2 linked regions of the Mus musculus genome follow. The protein of the gene in region 1 purifies or fractionates together with the protein of each later gene. This does not show direct contact. Links are inferred from orthologs where the notes say so. Each region holds a gene or a part of one and is shown on either strand. Other genes may lie near its edges.

The links.
Region 2: the proteins of Rab40b (region 1) and Cul5 purify together in Homo sapiens (affinity purification with mass spectrometry; 5 studies listed by BioGRID and IntAct, counting the BioPlex papers as one, with this or other methods). This does not show direct contact. The link is inferred for Mus musculus from reciprocal best matches to the Homo sapiens genes RAB40B and CUL5.

What each region holds. Positions count from the first base shown.
Region 1 is NC_000077.6:121,385,443-121,389,668, reverse strand, and holds the start of Rab40b (ras-related protein Rab-40B), read left to right. Parts: upstream 1-1,417; 5' UTR 1,418-1,526; coding exon 1,527-1,671; intron 1,672-2,464; exon of another isoform or gene 2,465-2,524; intron 2,525-4,226. UniProt on the Homo sapiens protein: RAB40B small GTPase acts as substrate-recognition components of the ECS(RAB40B) E3 ubiquitin ligase complex which mediates the ubiquitination of target proteins.
Region 2 is NC_000075.6:53,657,495-53,661,014, reverse strand, and holds part of Cul5 (cullin-5), read left to right. Parts: intron 1-2,334; coding exon 2,335-2,444; intron 2,445-2,829; exon of another isoform or gene 2,830-3,057; intron 3,058-3,520. UniProt on the Homo sapiens protein: Core component of multiple cullin-5-RING E3 ubiquitin-protein ligase complexes (ECS complexes, also named CRL5 complexes), which mediate the ubiquitination and subsequent proteasomal degradation of target proteins.

The DNA.
Region 1 (4,226 bases):
AATTTATCTAATACACTCTAGTGCAGCTTTAGTTGGCAAATCAATAGGGAAAGGCTGTCTGGACTCAGACATTCTAAAGCGCTCTCTCTAAGGAAGGTTTTTCTGTGTGGGCGATTGTTGCCATGTCATGGTCCTCTGAAATAATTACAGCTCAGGTATTCTTGGTTAGCAACAGTGTAATCTTGAGTCAAAGATAGTATTCTGAGTCAAAAATGGCTCAGCGAGACCATCCATTCTAGCTGGGTAGTGGTGGCCGATGTCTTTAATACCACACTCAGGAGGCAGAGGCAGGCAGATCTCAAGACCAGCCTGATCTACAAAGCCAGTTTCAGGACAGAAAGGGCTACTCAGGGAAACCCTGTCTCGAAAAACCCTATCTCAATTACCTATTCTAGACTGGCAGCCATATCTTGTAATTAGAGCTTATTATAGTCAACTCTTTGAAAGGATAGTGTTCCTGCAGGGAGGCAGCGGTCACCTTGCTCCAAGACCAGCCTGTTCTGAGCCAAACCGGCCTTGTCCTGAATCACAGCACAGCTGTGGCGCTTAGAACAATGTTCACAAATGCTTTCGTAATTTTCATCCACTGCTTTTTCTTTTCCATCCGGAAATGTATCCTTCTTAACAGAGAGGAGGCACGATTGCAAGAGGTGCTTCCACTTCAGGTTGTATAAAGATGTAGGTAGCGGGGATGCTAAACTATGATTACTCTAAATAACTTAGTTCCCACTGGTGAGGTGCTCCTGAACAGAGAGCAGATTCACTGCTCCCTTGGGGTAAAAGAGATCAGAGACAGACAGGTCCCCGTCATGTGCTCTCTGACAACAACCTCACAGGCACACGATGCACACACACACACACACACTCACACTGACATGCATGGACAGAAACCCGTGGAGACCTCGAGGCACCCACTAGCAGACACCTTTAGAGGTGCACTTGTCCATGTGTCCACTTGGTGCTGAAACTCACAACTACCTGTAACTTTAGTTACATCTGATGCCTACATGAACACATGAACATGCTAAGCTCTCACGCTAGCATTCAAAGCTCTGTGGAGCTGTGGGACAAATTCTCGTTTCCAGGCAGGGATTCAACACTTCCCACACCAATCTGGAGCCAACTCCTGTTACGCACTGATACAGGGGAGGGAGTAAACACTGACCACGCCCCTCCTCTCTATGCCATTCTTCCATTGGTTTGCAGGAGCAAACCTCTCCCCCCCCCTTCGGTTTCTTCTGGCTCGGCCTTCGGACCTCCATTGGCTTAGGCAACAAGTCCTCCCAGGAGAGGCGGTGGGCGTGGTGCGGAGGCGTAAAGAAATAGATGGGCGAGCTTGCTAACCAATGAGCATGTGTATATACCTCAGCAACTGAGGCTCGCCAATGGCAAGGTAAGGTGGGCGGGGCTCTTCAGCTGTCAAGCTCCCCCGACCGGTGGAGCGTTCGAGGGGCCCGCGGCGCTCGGGGACCCTCCGCCGCCTGCGCGCAGCCTTGGGCCGGTATGGGCGGGGTGGCTGGGCCGGCATGATGAGCTCCCTGGGCAGCCCGGTGCGGGCCTACGATTTTCTACTTAAGTTCCTGTTGGTGGGCGACAGCGACGTGGGCAAGGGAGAGATCCTGGCCAGCTTGCAGGACGGAGCAGCCGAGTCTCCTTACGGCCACCCGGCGGGTGAGCGCGGCTGCAGCACCCGGAGGCGCAGCGCTGGGGTGTCGGTGCGAGCGGCCTCTCCAGCGTGGGTCCCGGGAGCGGCTGGGCAGGGCTAGGAACCGCATGCTGGGGAAGACTGCGCTCTGTGGACGGAGTCCGCAAAGCAGCTCAGGGTGGTCGTCGAGGGACATCGCAGGTGCTAGCTACGTGTTCGGAGAAGTGTGTGGGATTACAGGAGGCGTGGGCAGAGAGACAGCGGTCCACGGAGCTGAGGTCTGAGACCACAGTCTCTGAGGCTATGACCTTTTGGTGCGTGGAACTGCAAGCAGAGAGTAGCAAGACTAGACTCCAGCCTTTGATTCCAAGCACTAAGCTCTGTGTCCTAGTGGACAGGACTTCCAAGAGGAGGAAGAGGAATCTAAGTGACCCTGTAGAATTGGCTAGGGTGTAGGAAGGAACCCAACTAAGAGACTGGAGTCCAGGAGACTGGACACGGGTGAGACCAGAGCGTCTCAGGCTCCAGGGCAGTGAGCAGTGAGTGTCCTAGAAGCCTGAAGTTTAAGATCTTGCACCCCAGAGGAAGGAGACAGAGTGGCAGAATCCTGAGCAGAACATCCAAGAATAGTCACGTAGTGATCCATCCCTTTGACTGTGGCTGTGCACAGACTTCAGTGAATGCCTATTGTGTTGTTGTGGGGGTTTCAACACACCTTTCTAATACAGACCCTGCCCTGAGGCCTGCCACCCTCTGTTCTTTGGGCTTGCAGACTGCTTCCTGCATCTCCAGCCCCCTGGCAATGCCACAAGGCAAGGCCCTAAAACTGTGTGGTCCAATGCCATTTAACTACCAGGTTGGACCGCACAGATTTAGACCTTTCCTTTAGGACAAAGCTCTGTTGGACAGCATTACTGCGAGAACAAGGGCGTGACTGAAGACAGGGCTGTCTTCAGGTCCTGGTGCTCAATGAAACACCCAGGCTTCAGCAGAGGCAAAAGAGTAAAACGTTTAACAAGCCCCCAAAGGGGACGTGAGTCCCACAGTAAATGACTGATGTGGGCAGAGAGAAAGATGTGGATGACATGTGAGCAGACTTGCTGCTGGTTGGCTTGAGCAAGGCCCACTGCACTTCTGTTGCTTTTGTCTGTTTTCTGTTGTCAACATGGTCTAAGAGATTGAGGAGAATTGATGCCGTAGTTGTGGCCATTGTGGCTTTTTGATTTACTACATATTTCTCTTAGGGCTAAGAAAAGAGCATGGGAAGAGCAAGCCAGGTATGGCAGCTCACACCTGTAATCCCAGCATTCAAGAAGCAGGGGGGTGGGGGTGGGGAATTGCCATGAGTTTGAGGCCAGTCTGTGCTACAGTATGAGACCCTGTCTGGGGAAAAAAAAACAAAACAAAATGGGAGGGAGTAAATTAGGGAGGGGAGATAAAAAAAAAAGCAGGAAAATAAACAAGTAGGGGTGAGGTAAACGTTATGAAGCTTGGGTCATTATTTTGTTATAAAGACATTCTCTCAGTCTCTGAGTGTCTCTCTCAGTGCTCTGGCAGTGGAAGATGCGGTCTTCCCGGCTTCATGCTCCACTCTCGGTTTCATGCTCCACTCTCTTCTTCCATGTCCGGGTTTTGTAGCCCACTTTGCAATTTCCATACTTCAGAGGTTTGGAACGCTCAGTTTCATTTTGTAGATCTAATACCGGTGCTCAGTATTCATGCAGTATTTAAATGAATTCAGAGCCAGGCATTGGTGGCAGCACGCCTTTAATCCCAGCACTCGGGAGGCAGAGGCAGGCGGATCTCTGAGTTCAAGGCCAGTCTGGTCTACAGATTGAGTTCCAGGACAGCCAGGGCTACACAGAGAAACCCTGTCTCAGAAAAAAAAAAATGAGTTCAGTGTTGGCTAACTCTTAACTATAGCTACTCCTGAGTTTAAAACCTTCTGAGTTGCTTGTGCTGAGACTATGTTGTCTGTCTTTGGCTGCACACAGTGTTCTTAGACTGTCCTGCTCTTTCCCCTCAATACCTGGTAACTTGTTCACAGTCTTTCTGGTATCTGATGTTGTTATGGTGAAAACATCATGCCAACTGATTTTCTAAATGGGAGATTTGCCTTTCTTTAGGAATTTTTGAAGACCGTTTTTCTTTGCCTTACCTTGCTTAATCAGGCCATGACTCAAAATTTTTGATATGTGTGTATTTTGAATTCTAGATAAAAAAAATTCCTTTCTTAATTTCAGAGGAATTTGATTTGTGTCCGTAAAATATCTCCCATTGCTTTTGTGTTGATTTCTCATTTGCTGTTACGAAAAATGACTACAAGCTGGCTTAAAGCAGCAAGAGTTTATCCTCTACGCAGTTTGGCATCAGTAGAACATTTCTACATGGAGCACAGGGAAAATGTCTTCTTATCTTTTTCAGCTTTCAGAACCTTCCTGCACTCTGGGGTTCTTGGCCCCTTTCTTGGTCTTCAGAGACATTGGCCTGTGATCTTTCTCAGGCCTTCTCTCTAACATGAACTCTCCTGCCTACTTTTTTTTTTTTTTGAAGATTTATTTTATGTATATGAGTACACTGT
Region 2 (3,520 bases), on another chromosome or scaffold:
TAGACTAAGCAGTATCCTTAAAAACACTTGTGTGGTCTGGCAGGTCAGACCAGCTACTAAAGCTCTTGCTGCCAGGCCTGAGAACTTGAGCTCAGTTCTCTGCAACTCTCACGGTAGAAGAGAGCCTACATTCAGGAATTGTTCTCTGACCTCCAAATGCACCTGCATAGGAAGATGTAAAGTAAATAGGTAGAACTGTAAAAAGTAAGCTATATAGAAACAAATCATGAGTTTCATAAAATAGTGCTACTTTACTAGAAAATGAATGGGAGGGGGAGGAGTCAAAAAAGAAAAGAAATGAATGAAATTTATTGGCCAGAACAAGTTGTATAAATACATTTAGCCTGAATAGGAGCTAAGCTCTTGACTGGTGCAAATGAGGTTGTTCCCTCTTTCTGTCTAGTACCTGACTAATTAATTTGTTTTTTCCTCCTAATAAGATACTATTCATAGGACAAAATGGTTAGGATGAACTAGTGTTTTCATATACTTATTTGATAGTGCTCATTTAAATCTTTGTATATGTTTCCTTTGTGTCTTATGCTGCTCTCAAATTTGATGTCAAGATTTTATTAGCATTGTAAGATGAAATCTTTTCTTTTGGCATTGATTTCAACCAACTGTGGGTCAAAGTACTTTTTTTAAGTACTTAAAAAAATTTAGACTTTTAAATGTATACAGATATTTTCCTTGTCACTTGGTAATTATTTATATAACATGATATATTAAGAATTAGAAGTAAGCTGGGTGGTGATGGCCTATACCTTTAAACCCAGCACTTGGGAGGTAAATGACTCTCTGAGTTTGAGGCCATCCTGGTCTACAGAATGAGTTCAGGACAGTCAGAGATATACAGAGAAACCCTGTCTTGGTCAAAACAAAACAAAACAGCAGGATTAAAGGTGAGTGGCACCACTGCCTGGTGGGCTTTTGTGGGTTTATAATGTTTTATTTTGTTTCTTTGAACTGGGTCTTTGTAGCTATAGCTTGTCCTAGAACTCACTATGTGGATCAGGCTGGCCTTGAACTCACAGACATTTATCTGTTTCTGTTTCCAAGTTCAGCCACCACACCCAGCCTCCCTCCCTCCCATTTTTAAAAACACATCATCCATGGACATAAATATTTTACATGCATGTATGTGTAATATGTGCATGATGGGGGTCCCTGAAGTCTGAAGAAGGAGTCAGATCCCTTAGAAGTGGAGTTGCAGAGAGTTGAGTTACCACCAATGCTAGCGTCTAGACCCAGTTCTTTGCAAGAGTAGTAAGTGCTGTTAAATGCTGCGCTCTCTCTGCAGCTGACAGCTTTACAGTGGGAAGAGTTGAGTACAGCTTCAGAATTAGAGGATTAAGTCTCTCTGTAAGATACCCATTCATTTTCAACACCAGAAAGACTCAGGCTTTACTGCAAGCTGGCATAATTACTGTTATTTGTTATGTAGCTGCAACATTCAGTTCAAGATCAGCTTAAGAGAGAGAAGTATAGGACGGAGTCTAGGAGGTCCCGAGTGTAGTTTCTGTTATCCTTCCCGTGGTCAGTGTATGACAATATACACAAATTATGCCTAAGGAAGCTAATCTAACTTTCTTCCTGTCCAATTTGTGTGGAATTTCTTCACAAAGACGAGAATGTTTATGTCCATGAGTACTTTGAACTCTACATTGACACAAAGCCCTTCTTTAAATTACATTGTTAATCTTTTAAATTGGCCAGCCCCACTTTTGAGACCATGTTGACCCTGCCAGTCCCCTACCAAAACTACATTTGTTAGCTAAGGTTCATTTTAGGTACACATTCCCATTGACCATGGATTATCTGCCGGAAGGAACCAAGAGGGAAGGCCACACTCTTTATAACAAATTCTTCCCTGTGCATTCCACTTTAATCTTAGTATTGCTGTCTGTTTCTTCCCCCTTCTCCTAGGATTGACCCCTGGGACTCACGCACAGCCTATAATTCTGACCTATAAATCAGCCCTGATTTGTGTTTATAGTTATCTTTGATTCCCTGCTATAAGATTAACCCTATAAGAACTCTTGTTTTGGAAAGGTATTTGTTTTAAATTTGATCTCTCTATTTTTCTGGGCTCTTTTTTTTTTTGGTTTTCGAGACAGGGTTTCTCTATAACCCTGGCTGTCCTGGAACTCACTTTGTCTGGCCTCGAACTCAGAAATCCGCCTGCCTCTGCCTCCCAAATGCTGGGATTAAAGGCATGCGCCACCACGCCCAGTCTCAGGCATCTTTTAAGAGATATTTTTAGATAAAAGTATGTGAAACTTTTGTATTTAATTGATTTAAAACAAGCCATATTTTATCTCTTTTGTTTTTAAGAATAAAGGTTCTCTCCAGTTTGAAGACAAGTGGGACTTCATGCATCCAATTGTTTTGAAGCTTTTACGCCAGGAATCTGTAACAAAACAGCAGTGGTTTGATCTATTTTCGTAAGTAATCCAGTAATTCTGTTTGTTAACAGTGGGTTTTGGTGGCTTTCCATACTGGATGGACAGTATGAGTTTAAGTGATAGGAAAACCTGTATATTGTTACTTAGTTGTGTTGGAGATTCCCAAGACAGAGTAGAGTCTAGGTTCCTTGACGTGCTAGGTGACCTTATAAGCCTGAACATACAGCGAAAAGACATATGGGTTGAAATTGGAAGATGTAAGGGGGAGATTAAGCACAGATTTCCAAAGGTCCTTTTCCAGGGGATTCACCTGGGACATTACGTTCTTTTTCTTAGATTAGTTTATCTCATTTTATGTGTATGAGTATTTTGCTTGCTTATATGTCTATGTAATATATGTGTTCTTGGTACTGGTGGAGGACAGAAGAAAGTGTTGGATCCCATGGAAATGGAGTTAGTGAGCCACCATGTGGGTGCTAGGAAATGACCTCGGGTCCTCTGCAAAAATAACAAGTGCTCTTAACTGCTGAGACATCTCTCCAGCCTTGGGACATTTAATTTCTTCAGCAGGAAGATTGAAAACATGTGATATGTTATCAAGAGTTAATGAAAGTGGCTATATAGTCATTCAAATTCTGGATTCCTAGGAAGAGTAAGTATAAATTCAGTAAAAATCAGGATGTTTGTGTTATCAGTTTAGATAAACTGAACCAGTGTTATCATTTCAGGAAGGTTTTATATAGATGTGGGAACCTGTCAGTTCTCAGATTTCAGTCTAAGGCTAACCTTACAAACAGATTTTTTTTTTTTTTTTAAGGAATTGAATCTCAGGTCTGCTTTGTTACTGCTTAGCCCTTGGCCAAATGTCTAGAGAACAGTTATTGTTAGAAGTCCCTAGGAGGCAGTGTAGCAAGTTTTAACAACCCTATTAATCACAAAGTTCACCTTAGAAGCCAAATGAGATGGTTTTCTCCTTCAGTTTCTATGTGAACAGTTAATTTAATTTAATATGTATGAGTGTTTTGCCTGCATATGTACAAGTACACAGTGTGCATTCCTGGTTCCTTTAGAAACCAGAAGAGTATGTCAGCCTCCATGTGGCTGATGGGAACTGA